2 linked regions of the Drosophila melanogaster genome follow. The protein of the gene in region 2 purifies or fractionates together with the protein of the main gene of each other region. This does not show direct contact. Each region holds a gene or a part of one and is shown on either strand. Other genes may lie near its edges.

Region 1 (7,975 bases), about 19 Mb from region 2:
GGAAGATGCTATGATCATCAACAAGGCTGCTTATGAACGAGGATTCGCCTATGGAAGTATCTACAAAACAAAGTTTTTGACGTTGGACAAGAAGAGCAGTTACTTCGCAAGGCATCCACACATGCCGGAGTTAATAAAGCATCTTGACACGGATGGTCTTCCACATCCGGGCTCCAAATTGAGCTATGGTTCGCCCCTGTACTGTTACTTTGACGGAGAGGTCGCCACTTATAAAGTTGTGAAAATGGATGAAAAGGAGGATTGCATAGTAGAGAGCATCCGACAGTTGGGAAGCTTCGATTTGTCGCCAAAAAAAATGGTGGCCATCACACTGAGGGTTCCACGACCTGCCACTATTGGAGACAAGTTTGCATCAAGAGCTGGTCAGAAAGGAATTTGCTCACAAAAATATCCTGCAGAGGACTTGCCATTTACGGAATCTGGTTTGATTCCAGACATTGTGTTCAATCCCCACGGCTTCCCCTCCCGAATGACAATCGCCATGATGATAGAAACGATGGCGGGAAAGGGGGCTGCAATCCACGGAAATGTTTACGATGCCACGCCTTTTCGCTTCTCCGAAGAGAATACTGCTATTGACTATTTTGGCAAAATGTTAGAGGCTGGGGGTTACAATTACTACGGAACGGAGAGGCTGTATTCCGGCGTAGATGGCCGCGAGATGACTGCTGACATATTTTTTGGAGTGGTGCATTACCAGCGTCTTCGGCACATGGTGTTTGACAAGTGGCAAGTAAGATCTACGGGAGCGGTGGAAGCTCGGACCCATCAGCCAATTAAGGGCAGAAAACGCGGTGGAGGCGTCAGATTCGGTGAGATGGAACGGGATGCTTTGATCTCTCACGGTGCTGCTTTCCTGCTGCAGGATCGCTTGTTCCACAACTCCGATAAGACGCACACCCTGGTGTGCCACAAGTGCGGCTCCATTCTGGCGCCTCTGCAACGCATTGTTAAGCGAAATGAGACGGGAGGACTCTCTTCTCAGCCAGATACGTGTCGCTTGTGCGGGGATAACAGTTCTGTATCGATGATCGAGATACCATTCTCTTTTAAGTATCTGGTTACCGAATTGAGTTCGGTCAACATTAATGCGAGATTTAAGTTAAATGAAATTTGATTTAAATCTAAAATTATTGTTAGGTCCTATGTTAACCCGTGCGCTAATCGTAATAAAGATAAATACGTAAAATACAACTGTGCTTGCCAAGTGTTTATATCCAGATCGTGGAAACGTTTTAAACACCTTTCAAATGGTTTCAATTTATATTTATTTAAATACATATTGGTTTACGTTTACAGTTAAATTCCTGCACTTGCTATATGTAGTTGTGGCTTGGTTTTCTTGCTCTTGCAGTTGCTTTTGTTTTGTCTGTGAGTGTTAAATGGAATTTGTGTGGAATTTTGTAACATTTAACTATTGCACTTTGGAAATGCCTAAATTTCCAGCTGTCATGCACATTGGTTTTTACGAAAGGATCGAGAGTTTAATGGTAATAAGTATTTGATGTCAGTTTCCATTATCGGTTTTCAGTATCAGTATCTATATAGTGTATATTTTAGTTTACAATTCTTTGTTCTTTATCGGCAGCCGTCTCGCATTTGAAGAGAGTCATTAGCAGATTTATGGCTGGCGGCTACTGCTGCTGCTGCTTCAGATTAGTTAATACTTGGTGCTACAAAGATCGCTTTCTCTTCAGGAAGCGGCACAACATGAAGTAGCCCCTCTCAGTTTATCTATGGTACACAAACGAAACGTAATATTACCCAGAATCATTCAAAAAATTCTGCTATAAGTATAATAATATTCTGAAATTTTTGCTTCGTTTTCTTCAATAGGGAAATTTTTCCTATCGTTAATAAATTTTAAGTTGCTCAACAGTGATTAATCAAGGAGATTTTGTGGATCTGTCTAATTATTTGTCTATTATTTAATGAGATTTCTGCTCTTGCGGTCCTCCATTGGATTTTACAATCAAAAACATTAAACATGAATTTCGTTTAGATGCAATTGCAATAATCAATATATGTATAAATATTTAGATAACGATTTGCATACTTGTCATTTGCAGGCATCTTAATAATTCCCTTGCAAGCTTTTCTCTTTTGTTTTATATTGATTTCTGTTTTTATTACAACGACGTATATACTAGGTATATGTATGTGGTTTGTATGAATGTATGTAGATCTGTATATAGGTATATAATATCCAATTGCTACTGCCTCGAAATGATGCAACAATATATAATTTGTCATACATATAAACATAATCTAATTATGTTCTCTCGTTTCTCTACTATGAACTTTTTGAGCTTAACATTTACAAAAAAGTTTGGGAACATGAAATTGAAAATGGTTAAAGTAAGAGTAGGTTTACAAACATAATATTCAAATAAACAGGACAGTGGGTAAATCAACTCGCTGTTGGAGAAGATGAAAGGTACTTAAGAAGAGTGTAGGAGTGTGCCTGGCATAACTAAACGCGTACAGTTCTAGGGCCTTGTATGCTTTGATATTTCTCTAGGTAATTGGGATTGTGCATTGTAAAGTGGTTGCCGTTGCTCCATGGCTTCGCAGCTCCGTCTCCATCACCCCGTCCATGATTGTTGTGGCTTAGAATTGATCCGTCAACAGATCGCAGATTTCCCGAGTTACGGTCTCCTTGCTTGCCCGAACTGTCAGTCGGAACATCTATTGATAATTTGAGAAATAGGCAATAGGCATTATGTTCCAAGTATCTAACAATAAATTACTCACCTGAGCCTGCTTGTTCGGCTCCAATCGCATAAGGCAGCCCACCTGTTGCGATTGCGTATGAATGATGCCCGCGCAGACCATGTTGTCTGGATTGGGATCCACTTGGTCCAGCAGTTGCATTCCAAAGCCCATAAGCTTGTTGCGGGCTCCGGGCAAATCCAGTGGCTGTGCAGCCTTGAACACTTTCTGTGACCGTTGTTGTTCACTACAAATGCACAATTAATATTGAATATTATCAAAAGACACCTTATTAAATACCCGCTAAGGTTCTTCCATCGTGCAAAGAATGATTCCGCATTCATTTCGGTAGGCTCAAAGAATTTGTTAACGCTCAATGGCAGTTTAATGCTGAACTTCTGCTGGGTGCCGTTGTAGCGGAAACTGATCTCGATTGTTGGCGCATCGGCGTAGTCCTCGATGCATTCCGCGGTTAACAGTTGTTGGATCTGGGCGCCGGCCTCCAGGGTTGGCTCCACCACCTTCATCTGCACGTTCAGCTTAAGCGCATCCTCGGCAGACCATTGCAGCACAGGATTGAAGTTCTGAAAAGAGAGCAATGTAATGCCTGGAATGTTTCAGAAACTAATTTACTTACTGTCAGGGGAACCTGTGTCTTGTTGCCGTAGAAAAGGCCTAATCGTCCTAAATTCTGGCGAAACTCGCTCTTCACACCGATCTGCAGCATTTCGTTCTCAAACAAAACACCATTGTTCTTGAACAAAAACTTCTTCGTGTTGTACACGGCACTTGAGTTGTTGTTACTATTGCTGCCGTACATGTCGCCCAAAACATCAATGAGCGTACTGTTGCTATTGCTACCACTGCCAATATTATTTGATGGCGGAGTGCTTAATCCAAGCAGATCCGTATTTGCGTTGCTGTTATTCAGCTTGCTATGTGAATTGTTCACAAGGGCGTTGTTCTGCGCTGCAGAAGTCAGGGGTGCCGGGCTCTTCGACTCGCGAATTTCGTTCTCCGGCACCCTGCCGGGCTTCTTCTTCTTTAGCACTGCTAAAATTGAGCTCTCGCGTTCCGGGAACGATGGCATCTCCTCCAGGACGGTGGCCAAAACGTCTGTCGATGCCACTATGCTAAGCTGGAGATATTCGCTAGCTCGCTGCTGCAGTTCCGCATCTGCGGATCGAAGATTGCTGTGCTGGCGGAACACATCCTGGATATTGGTACGAATTTCCGGAAAGAGGTTGATAAATTTAATGTACGTGGACAGAAGAAGGGCCCGGGTCATCGGCGAGCACAAGTGGTACTTGGAGTGCAGTAGCTTGAATTGTACCAGTGGTGCTGAGCGGGAATCTCCGGCGATTAAGTTGCCAAACTCGCCCAAGATGTAGCCGCCCACTTTAACCATGTTTTCGTGGCAGGCAGGGGCCTGTAGCGCCTCAAAAACAGTCTTTGCGGCATAGCCTTGAACCTCCTCGCGATTGATCACGATCTGAATGACGCGGTACCATACTTCCTCAGACACGTAGTCGCCAGCAATGCGAATTAGATTGAGGATAACGTCCACATACCTGGTAATATAGCGGTTGTCATAAAGCACATAGACTTTTAAGCACAAGCTAAAAAAGAGAACACCTACCAGGTATAATCCGTGGCGTACTTCTCGGCAAGAATGGCCACCTTGAGCACCATTTCCTCACGAATAGAGTAGTCGGCCGTCTCCAGATAGTTGAGCATCTCCTGAACAATTTCCTCGGCATTACCACGATCACACATGGCATACAAAAGATCCACCGCCATTTGGCGCACGGACACGTCCTTCTCCATTTTCATTGACAAAATGACCACCTCCTGGTGCTTCTTCACCTCCTCGTGCGAGAACTCCGATGTGGCCAGGTGGCACATGGACTCCAGAGCCAGATAGCGCAAGTTGGTCTCCCGATTGCTAAGGAACTGTCCCAACTGGTTGCAAGCGCGGACAAGAAGGTTCGGCTCGCTGTCGCTGTGAATGATCAGGTTGATGGCCTCGAAGAGCACGGCGTTCTTTGCGTTAGAGTGCTGCACCTTCTTACTCTTTGGCGGCTCTTGCGCCTTGTTCAAAATCGTCTCCAAAGTTTCATTCAAGCGGGCCCGCACACCGGCCTCTTCGGTCACTGGATTGTAGTTTTGCAGCAATCGCAGAAGTTTCACCGATAGCCATGGAGCCGGCACAAAGTAATATGTGTAATCCTGCAATGCGAATTTAGTTAGTAATTAGAAGTTTCTTACCTTAAAAAATGCATTAAATCGTACCTGAAGATCCGTGTAGCTGGCTGTTACGATCCGGGATAAGCGTGAAACAGCCAAATTAACACAACCCTTGTACTCGTCCGGATTGCGCTTCACCAAGGCGTCGATCAGCGAGGTGGCCGCTGTGACCACTCCCATGTGCTGATCATTGAGCAAATGGATAATGCGCGAAGTCCACTCACCACCGGGAATGATGTCCGGCGAGGAGCGGAACAGGCGGAGCAGGCATAGCGCCGCCGACTGCTTCACCACGTCCATGGTGTCGCCCGAGACGAGTAGCTTGGGTATTTCGTTGGAAAAGGACTCGGCCATATCCCGACTTCCAATGTTGGCAATGCATTGTAGTGCCAGATTAACGTGCACAGGATTACGCGACTGCAAATCATTCTTTATAGATTGGATGATCAGCCGAATAAGGTCGCTGTTGGTGTTCACCAACACTGAGATGAAAAGGTAACCCTAAAGTTCAAAAAACAGATTTTATCAGTAACATTAAATTTAAAAAACCAATTTTTTAATTATTTTTATCAAACTTCAAACAACGACAAGTTAAATTTAATTGAATGAAATTCCCTTTTCCCACAAGCAGAGTCGTCTGCTTTCAGTTCAATTATTTCGACTCGCTAAATAAACAAATGATTATTGAAGCAATTTTTTGGGGTACTCACAATCTGCTTTTCTGAGTATTTGTTGGAGGACAGCAAATTGACCGCCTCCATGTGCCCGAAGTCGATGTCATGGCCGAGGAGAAATATGAATAACAGCTTACAGACATATTTCTTTTTCTGATAGCCGTCGAGGGTTTTGTCTCCTTTAAATTTGCTTCGTATATTGGCCAACTCCTTGTTTATGCGTTTGACTTCGGCCTCTTTGCTTTTGCCTGTGGGCAAATGGGTGAATATTAGTATAGAAATTTGTGTCTTATGCGGGTATAAGGGAGATTCACAGTAAAACAACAGTGATTCGTCTGCGGAAGCTTCGCTTTCCTTTCCACCCCGCGATTGATCGATCGGAGAGACGACTTCACACCCTTCAGCTCTCTCCATGTCGCGGATTTTCTCCGATTCACATAGGCGTCAATTAGTACCAGTCACCGATCCGCAGCGGAACCTCTGCTCTCCTATATGTTGTCCACAAACCAGAAACTAGTAACCGAGCATACAGCAAACAACGAGCTGTGATAATAATACCATACAGTGAAGCGTCGGACTCTTGCGCACACACATATGCACGCTTCGAAGTACTACAGTAAGTCATCAAACTATCAAAATTGTAAGTATTTATTAATACTGAGAGGCAACCGATTCACATTGATATAACTATTTGCTGTGTTGTACCCATATATATAACTATATATATAACTTTCTCATATCTTTCTAATGTAACGACTACGAAAACATTTACATAGGAATGGAGAAGAAAAGTAGCCAATATTTTGTAATTCATCTGGCAGAGAGCTTACTGTTCCTGCGTTTTTGTACCGCCCCACGTTTTTGTCAGTGCGCTGCTCCTGGTAATTGATCAAGTAATGGCGCTGATTCCGCCCCTATGGAAAATCTCTTGTTGCGACCCGCTCAATTGGATTTAATGCTGGTTACCCAAGAGATCTGCACTTACAGTTCCTTATATCCGATATAAAGACGGCCAGGCCTCTCATGCCATCCCCCCGCACCGGCGCCATGGTAGTTAGCTTGTTAATTTTCGCTGGTTTTATGCAAACTGGGGGCGCAAGAAAATCGTCAATGGATGGCGGCCGAGTCTCGAGGCGTTCTTATCGCTCGAACTCGACGTCGGACCCTAAGATATATAGTTGCTCTCCGCTCTGGTTCTGCAAAGCTCTTTTTACTTCGATTGGATCTCGGCCGTTCCTTGGGACCTGAAAGGGGAAACGATACTCTATTTATTGTGGGTTGTGGGAATGGGAAAACTTAGTATTATGATTACGTTTTAGTATTTGTGTTAACAAACGTATATTATTCAAACAAAAGGTATTTTGGATAACAATTTGTATTTAGCCAGGGAGTAGCTTATTGTGCATGCCAACACATTGATACAGCTTCTATTTTGAAAGTCCGTATTGCAGTTTTACTTTTGATAACGAAAACGCCACAAAATATGTATGCACCACACATTTCACTGAGCATCAAGCGCTGATAACGATTTATATGTATAAAAAATCCAATGTTTAATAAACTCAGAACTTTTAAACGGTAAATAGTGGACTACGTGATTGATTTTCCGGCCAGTGCACCCAATGGCTGGCGAACTTTGACATTTTCTGGTGGAAGTAGAGTGTACCCCCGCATTTTTGGCAACCGATTTATTTTCAACTTGGCAGCGTTTTGCCCGTTGATAAAGATTCTGTGACCTCGCTCGCCCACTTTTTATCGCCTGGCGAAGTCGATGTGCACTTGGGCATTATTATTTGGATTTGCGCGACCACCGGCTTTTGTTTCTGTAGTATACTTTTTACTTTGCTTTCCGTTTCGTTTTATTTTCTGTTTTTCACTGCGCTCTTCGGTTCTCTTCTTTCTTTGCTTTCATGTCACGTCACTTTTTTCACCGCTGGATGACGAGGGCGTTTTGCCCAAAAAAAAAAGCACCGAAGAAGCCTCCAAAAACATTAATGGGCGTATGTTAGCTGTTCTTTTTTTTTGAGCTTACTTTTCCGATTTTTTTTACTCGCCAGCGGACAAAATCGGTTAGCGTTGCGGAATTTCTGTGGCGGAGCAGAGAGAGTAATCTCTGACTTCTGAAGTTGGCTTCGCTTGGAATCGGAATCCGGGGTGTTGGCTGCGGAATGTTTGACCCTGCGTGTTGCACTTTATGGAACTCCAACTCGCTGGAGCTTCGCCTCGCTGATTTGCCGCTAATTTGTTTGTTAACTATTACCAAGTGCAGGGCAATTCACTAAAATGAAAATTTCTATTGATTTTTCTTCGCTCTCGCTGCC
Region 2 (8,126 bases):
TTAAAAACGATAACAAGACACAACTTTTGTGCTTAAACAGGTAACTAAGATAGGAATTAAAATTTGTAGAATCAAAATGTGTATTCTTGATTTTAGATTAGCTTCTGTTTTCTTGTATGCAACTTACTTATTGAAGGCCGAGGTGTCGCTTACGTTACGCCTATGACCACCTCCTCCGCTTGGCTTGGGCGGTGTCAACATGCTCTTGGTGGGCGTGCCTGCAATGACGTTTAAGTCCTGAGGCACTTCCTCCTTGTTAGGTTCTTCTGCTGCTGGTAGAAATTCAGTAGGAATTACTGCTGCAGCTGGCTCATTGAATGGATCTGGATAGCCACTTGACTCGAAGAGTTTACTGGCAGCAGGAGCTGCCGGAGTAACAGCTTGAGGAGGTGGAGGAACAGCAGGTGGCATAGCTGGGAAGTTGGCCTGGAACTGCTCGACCACAGGTTGAGGTTGGGGTTGTGGAGAAGTGATATTCTGTCTTGGCGAGGGACTGGGAGGCAAACCGAGACCCAATGGATTTCCTCCATGTACCGATGAGGAACCCTTAGGACGAGACCGAGGAGCTACACTGGTTCCCGCCTCCACAACTGACACATTCTGAGCCTTCGCCGCCTTGGAGGCCGCTGCACTGATCCTCTTGGCTTCCGATTCAAACGGAGGCACTACCAGTAGGTCGAAGTTTGGAATGGGAGTTTTCTGATTAAAAATAAGCAAACAGATTATCATACAGGAATCTGAACACAAACATTATGCATCACTCACATGGAGATTCTGAACGGGATTATCCTTGCCCGCCAGTCGAAAGGCCACCTCGCAAACTTGCCAAATGTTTGGTCGCTTCTCCATATCGGGTTCCAACATATATTTAATCAGTTGGTGCATGCCCTTCGAGTACTTTGAGGAGTCTGGAATGGAAAACTGTCCATTCTGGATAGCCAAAGTGCTCTCCCCAAATGGCAAGGAAAAGAAGCACAGCTTATAGAGCATGCAACCCAGTGCCCAGATGTCCGCCTTTGTGGTTATGCTCTTGCCCCCGTACAGGTCGATCATCTCGGGAGCCCGATAAGATAGAGTGGTGTACTTTTGGATCTCTTCCTGCACCACGGTGACTCCGTGCTGTTGAGGATTTAACGTCTTGGCCGTTGCCGATCCGAAGTCGCAGAGTACGAAGTTGCCCGCGTCCGTTTGCAGAATGTTCTCCACCTTAAGATCCCGATGGATAATCGGAGTCTGACAATAGTGCAATCGAGAGACAGCCTCGGCAATATCACAGAAGATGTTGAGCACCTCTGGCTCCGTGAAGCCAACGTGCAATCTGTGGCGAATTTCATTGGATTACATTCGAATTCCGCAATCAAATGGACTACATTTTTAGATTCACTTCGTTTACCTCGCATTCATCATGGCCAGCATGTGATGCTTGCAATAGGGCATCAGGAGTAGCACCTCGCACACCCCGTTTCCCGTGGGCGTGATGCTGGAGTCCACATAACCAATGATGTTTTTGTGCCCACTCAGGTTGCTCTGGGGGAGTGAAAGTGATTGCCCTATTAGATTAGGTTTGTTTGTCCCGATTTATTTACTCACCGCAATCTGTATCTCCCGCTTGGCTACGTTCAGATCGTGCTCATTGTTGACGTACATGCGCTTCAGGGCGTACTTGGTCGCCGAGGAACTGCCTCCGCCGTTGCCCCTTGCCAAAAAGACCATGGCGAAACCACCTGCGTGAGTTTTGAAGAGATGGGGAAGAGAAAAACAGAGCATTAGAGCATGGGGTAAGTTGACGGGCTAGACATCCATAACAGCTGTCAGCTGTAAACAACATAGCATATTTGAATGGGGGAGGAAACTGCGAGTAAGCTAAACCCGATGAATACCCTGTTATTGTATATTCATAATACATATATACGAATATTTTATTTTATATGGCAGGAAGTAGCTAATTAATAAACTAATTTGTTTATTAAAAGGAAATATGTGTCACATTTTTATAGCACACGTATCTTTGGCCATTCCTTCCCACATAATTTATGCCATATATCTACGTGATAATAATGGAATTTCTTTACTATAAACATTTCACGTTCACAAATATCCCCCCGTGGTGTTAAAATAGTAGAGGGTACCCGAATTCGAGTGATAGCAGTTACTGTCTGGCCATGGAACGATTTACACATGTTTTGCCTAACAGGCCATTTGCATGAGGTTTATTTCAGTTTATTGCAAATAGAATTTCAAGTAGAATGCCCCCACATTTCAGCCCTCTCCACCTGTCGCTTTACGCCACTTCAAAATGTACGATAAAAAGGCAACGCAATATAAACTAAACTATTGAAGGTCACGTACAGAAATAACAACAATAACATGCGACAATAACAATACTCAGCGGGGGAAGGCGGTGGGGCGGCAAAATAAAAAGATAGGAACAGTGGTCACTAAGAAAAAAACATAAAAATATATATTAGATATAAAATGAAATGATATTAGAAAAAAAAATGATCTCAATACATTAGATGCATAGACGATGCAACGATTAGGAGAATGTTTTAATATTGAAAATATTTATGGAACATTTGCTGTAAATGCACACACCATTTCTCCCTGTGTAGGCGATAGAGAGAAGTGAATAGCGGACCAGCAAATGTAACCATTTTTGCTCGACTTTGTGAAATTATGGCGTCAAATGTTAATCAATGCTGAAGGTTGCAACAGCAACAAATCAACATTGGCAAAAAGTACAGCAACAACATCCAGTAATAATAGTATGAAAAGCAACAATAACAATGCACAATTGTAGCGATGCGAGAAAACGCGAGAAGGCAATTCGAAACGCAAACGAGGGTAGAAAATACGTCTGAAGGGGCGTCAACTGCAAGGTGGGCAGTAAGCGGTTAAGGGTGGGGGCTGAGGGGTTAAGGCGGGAAAGCTTCATTCGTTAACCGTTTGTCGCTTAGTCATTTGTAATTGTTGTTGGCTGCTCAAAAATCGAATCAAAGAAAGCAGGTAAATATTGAAGGTGATTAAGCACAGTGTTACTTTGGAAGTATCCAGCATATCGAGCAGTTTAAACTTGGCTATACGCGCATTTTATTCATTGAGCATCTGCAAAAGACTCTATTTATTTTTTCTCTTTCTTAAATGAAATACCAATAGTTACGTTACTGGATTAAATGAATTAATAAATAATATATAATTTAGTTTATAATTTGTTATACTAATTCAATAACTTTAACCAAATAACCGTGTTCGTCAAACGCTCCGCCTTTTTAATTACAGGGTATGCCCGACAACAGCTGACTAATTGCCAGCGGCGCCAGCGCAGCGCAAAACAAAATTACGAATCGAGTCCGCTTGCCAAAAGTATAAAAAGTAAAAAACACTACGTAATGGCTAAAGGAAAGGTGGCGAATGGCTGGCCAGGCGGTGGGTGAGCAATCGTTAGATGATCAAATGTTGGGCGGAGGGTACTGGTGCCAGGCCAACAAGGAGGCACTTGCACTGCAGGATGATGTGGAGTGGAGCACTCCGCATTTCAAGGACAAGGACACAGCACAGGCGATTTCCTTAGGGGCGAACTTTGCCATTTAGCTCGGCGAAAGGTGAAAAACGGAAGACTGTCGGAGACAGTCGGCTGATGAGTGTTGGTCTTGCCGCTTCATTGGCTAAATTAACATAATTGATTCAATTGATTTGTGGCCATGTGTAGTGGCTACGGGAATTCAATGGGTATTCCATGGAAAAACCAACCAGAACCGTAACTGTGTTTGTACAGTCGGGTTTCTCTAACGCGGACACCCATTTGTCACAATAGAAATGCTGGCATTTCTGGTTTTGGCAAAAATAAACTCTTTAAAGACTGACATAAATTTGGACGAAATATCTGCACGCCATTAGAGAGCCGAGTTATGGACATAAATATGTAGTTCTATGCCAAGGGCAAAATTGCAGTTCAATTAGTTGGAATTTAGGTTACAAACCAGTATTTAGTATTCATAATTAATGAAATAATTTAAAATGTTTTACAGTTTTATTAAAAGATAATATATCAAAGTCAGATTTTAGCTGTTTTGAGTTTAACATCTTATACAGAAATTATTGGGAGTAATTTATTTGGATTTAATCGGAAATGCGACAAGTGGTGTCCCCAATTATGGAGGATACGCAGCTGATTTTTATGCTCTCTAGCGCTTTGAGTACGCCCCACATTTGGGAGTTCTCGCGCTGAAGGGGTTTATCTAATCTGTGACGAGGGGCGAGACCGAAAAGCGGACGGCAGGCTACTGCCCACCTGTAAATCAGGCAGGTGATAAGCATAATCGCGGGCGACGTGTTGTAGGTAGGGGAATGGGAGCACATATATAAGAGTGTATATATAGTCGTCTACCTTCTGCCAGGACATCCTCCACGGTGACCGTGACGCGTCCCACTGTGAAGACCTTGCCCACGAAGCTGTTCTTCTCGTTCGAGGACGACGAGCTGCTGCTGTTGGGCGGATTCTCCAGTCGAGAGTTCTCATTGCGCTCGAACTTAGACAGGATTTTCTTCATTTTCCCCCGATTTTCACTAGAAAATGTTTACTGCCCCAGCAGCACAACACACACACACACACTCGCGAGCACACACGCACACTAGCTAACACGGTCTTAATTGCCTGCGCGTAGGTGTTTTTGGCAATTTTTAATTTTGCGAGGGCGGCTGACGGTGGGCGGGGCGTCGGTGCCGCTGGCCAATTAATCCACTTTCGAGTCGTATCGGCTAGCTGAATAAAGCTATTCTGCGCACTTTGTGTTTTTGCATGCACACACACAATGCAGTGGAAAAAGAAAGTTGTTCGATTTTCCTGCTGCTCTCGAGTTGTTGGGCCAGTGTGACCAGGGCGCTTTGCTGCAGTCAGATGCGCAACCCGCGGCTGGTGCAGCCGCCTATCGATATATAGATAAGTTGGTTGCAATCTCGAAATTCTGAAAACAAGGAAATCCCCGTTTACAAAATAGGTTTTATGATAACAATTTTTTGTAATTTGATCCAATTTAAAAAGATAATATGGTTCTACTTTCAATAAAACATATAGCTACAGTTGCATTAAACTATCGCGCAGTTTTAATTAGCTATGCTGCCAACATCGTGTTTCCCTTATCAATATGTTATCGATTGTGCTGGTGCAATTGTAAACAAGCATCTCTAGCAAATGGTCGCTAAATTCGCAAAATTGTAGTTTGCTGGGATAACAATGATAAATACGGCCAAGTACTTTGCTCTTCTAGAGAGTTTAAGGTTTAGTAAAGCTCTAGGTAAATTGGTTAACATCATATAATAATTGTAGTATCCCTAATACTAATATTTCGACAGCAAATACGGCGAATAACTCAGGGACTGCCGAAGCCTTGGAAATCAACCTGCGAATTTTGGAAAAATATGCTAAACTCGAGATTGGTCAGCAATTGCATGAGCTGTGCCTGGAATATCAGTTAACAGACGATCACGAATCTAGTATTGATCCCGATTCGGATCGTACTATATGCTATATAATAAGATTGCAACATGTGCTACATTCGATCATGAGGAACATTAATTTCCACAGCGACGCCAAGGAGGATCTTATTTCGGTAGCGCACCTGAAATTGTGTATCCAGGCTTCCCAAGAATTATCATATTACTCGCTTCGATGCCAGCTACATGAGGATTTCTACAAGTCGCCCATCTTTTGTGAGGCTCAGGGGAAAATCAAAGCTAACTTTTCATTGATGCTTCTAAGCATTCAGTTCTTTATTAATCTACTGCATATTCGACAATACCACATAGCCAACTCGATGGAGCTGGTGCAAAGGGATCTACTGGCGGCCATTGTGAGTCTACGTGTGCAGCAAGACTCTCCACTGCTGGATAAGGCTATAGCCTACCTCTGGCAATATGAATCCAAAGCAGATTTCTTTCGCAACATCTTGCTTTTTAAAGCTACGACTCTCTGCCCAACTCTGGCCCAATTATTGCACCGTCAACTCTTAGGAAAGCTTCACTTACCCCAAGGATTTGCTAGTCTTGTTGAGGCCCTGCATCAAAATCCCAATGTGAATTCTTCCAGAAATGCGGAAATTGTGGCTAGTATTGTGGCCAGAAAAGGATTTTCTCAGTTAGCGCAAGAGAAGATGGTTCTCCAGGTGCTAGAATATTGTAAGTTCTATCTGCAGAATGCGGACAAAATGTGCGCCGGTGTCCTATCGCTCAGAAGACTTTACGATTTAAGTGATACAAATCAAAAGCTGATAAAAGAAATATTATTCAAACACTGGGAAACGCTTTGTAACCCAGAAGACATTATTAATGGCCTTATCTTAATGGATCACCAGGAACTGTGCAATCGCATTCTCTTATGGCAGCATCTCTTTTGTTCTTCAACCGTAGCTTGCTTACCCAGTAATCTACTCGTTCCCTACCTTCCTTTGCTGCTCCAACTCTACGATGGCCTTCCAATGGAATTACCGGCGTCATCGCAGATTTCTGCCATTATTTTGCGTTGTCTGGACAACAGAGAAATGAAAAACGAATTACCTGCGATACTCCAGAAGCTGTTTAAATGGGAAATTGAGAAGGAACCTCCTTGGAAGTGTTTAAACCCACGCATTATAATCCTGCCTTCCATGAACACAACTCAAATTCAGGTTAAAGTAGCTCACAAAGATCATCTAGCAGATCACGATATGGGCAGAATATTGCCCGGTCTACTCACATCAAGCTCTCATCATTCCCTCACCTGCAAAGTTTTCCTCTCTCTTCTGGGCTTCATAGCTAAACAGATAAATGATAAATCTTCAGCCAGCGTAGATTTTATTTCATCAGAAGCAGAGCTCAAAGACTTTCTGCACTCCAAATATCAACTGAAGCTAGATTTGCTCATTGCTTTAAACCAAATGGTAGCCCACCAACCATTAAGAGCTCAGCTATCACAACATACCAAGGAGCTTCTACATATACTAAAAGACTTGCTTGTCCACCGATCTAGAGAGCAAGATACCACGGATCAGATCCTACTTCTCGTTCTAAACCTCTTGCAGGAAATTCTTGAGGGCAGTGAGAATATTCAACTTTCAGAGGCCTGTAAGGAACTGAAAGAACAATTGCACCTGTTGGGTACTCGATCTTCCAACCCTCTTATCCAGCAATCTGTAAAATCATTGCTTACAATAATTCACGGCGCATGGCGACCAAGTGAGGCTGTTAAAATACAACCTTTTCAAAGAGCTCGGTCCTTGATAGAGGAAAAACAATCCCACATGCAAGTGTATGGAATTCAGATGATGATTGATTTGCTGAAAAAAAGAGATCCTGCTACCTTAGCGCAGGGTCAACTTATCATAGCGTTAGCCCTGACCACTCTCAAGGATAAGGAATCCTACACCTTCTTAAATTGTGTTCGGCTCTTTGTGTCGCTTGTTCATGTGATGGAGTCCGATGTGCTGGACAAATTGAGTGATGAGTACCTATCAGAGACGGCTCACTTAGACTACCGCCTCGTAGTGGGTGAAGCTATTCTGAAAGTCGCTCAGGAGTTGGGTAAGCAATGTTCTACACAGCTAAGAATAACTCCTAAACTTTCATACTAATCCCATCCAGGTCCTCTTTGCTTTCGATACAAGGCTGTTCTTCTCAACTGCTTCATGTACGGCTCCCGGTCTCCTGTTCACGAATTCCGGATGTCAGCCTTTGCCAATCTTGCCCAGCTTTGTCGCCTTTTGGCCTTTCAAGTGCAGAACTTCTTCCACGAGTTACTCCAACTTGTTAATAGCGAATTAACCACCGGAGGATATGTTCCCTCTAAGCGTGCAGCAGTCCTGGTCTTAGCTGAACTATTAAACGGCATGGAGAACCTTCTGGATTACCAGGAAATGTTACTCCCCATTTATCGCCTTTTAAAAGCGATTGAAGCGGATGAATCCTGTGATCCTCAAATGCGTCAGCATGCTGCAAACGGTCTGAAAATTTTAAACAAAAAGTGCACAAAACTGATACAATCTGCCTTGGAGGAGAAATCATTACAGAAGCAGATTAAGGTGTTGGGCATTAAGGACGATGATTCACCTCAAAGAAGAAACCGACATATACTGGAACTGAATTAAAGGCTATCT

The links. Proteins that work in one complex are often made in the same cells at the same time.
Region 1: the proteins of Nak (region 2) and AP-2alpha purify together in Drosophila melanogaster (affinity purification with western blotting; 3 studies listed by BioGRID, with this or other methods). This does not show direct contact.

The regions. Positions count from the first base shown.
Region 1 is NT_033779.5:406,757-414,731, forward strand, and holds AP-2alpha (adaptor protein complex 2, alpha subunit), read right to left. Parts: upstream 6,130-7,975; 5' UTR 6,069-6,129; coding exon 5,969-6,068; intron 5,903-5,968; coding exon 5,691-5,902; intron 5,482-5,690; coding exon 5,026-5,481; intron 4,963-5,025; coding exon 4,373-4,962; intron 4,305-4,372; coding exon 3,371-4,304; intron 3,318-3,370; coding exon 3,034-3,317; intron 2,981-3,033; coding exon 2,776-2,980; intron 2,710-2,775; coding exon 2,632-2,709; 3' UTR 2,120-2,631; downstream 1-2,119. Other genes in the region: Polr1B (RNA polymerase I subunit B), read left to right, coding at 1-1,138. UniProt on the Drosophila melanogaster protein: Adaptins are components of the adapter complexes which link clathrin to receptors in coated vesicles. Clathrin-associated protein complexes are believed to interact with the cytoplasmic tails of membrane proteins, leading to their selection and concentration.
Region 2 is NT_033779.5:18,963,866-18,971,991, forward strand, and holds the start of Nak (Numb-associated kinase), read right to left. Parts: upstream 4,880-8,126; 5' UTR 4,551-4,879; coding exon 4,388-4,550; intron 1,725-4,387; coding exon 1,591-1,724; intron 1,528-1,590; coding exon 1,394-1,527; intron 1,319-1,393; coding exon 766-1,318; intron 700-765; coding exon 128-699; intron 1-127. Other genes in the region: Tango6 (transport and golgi organization 6), read left to right, coding at 5,234-5,294, 5,353-7,554, 7,615-8,117.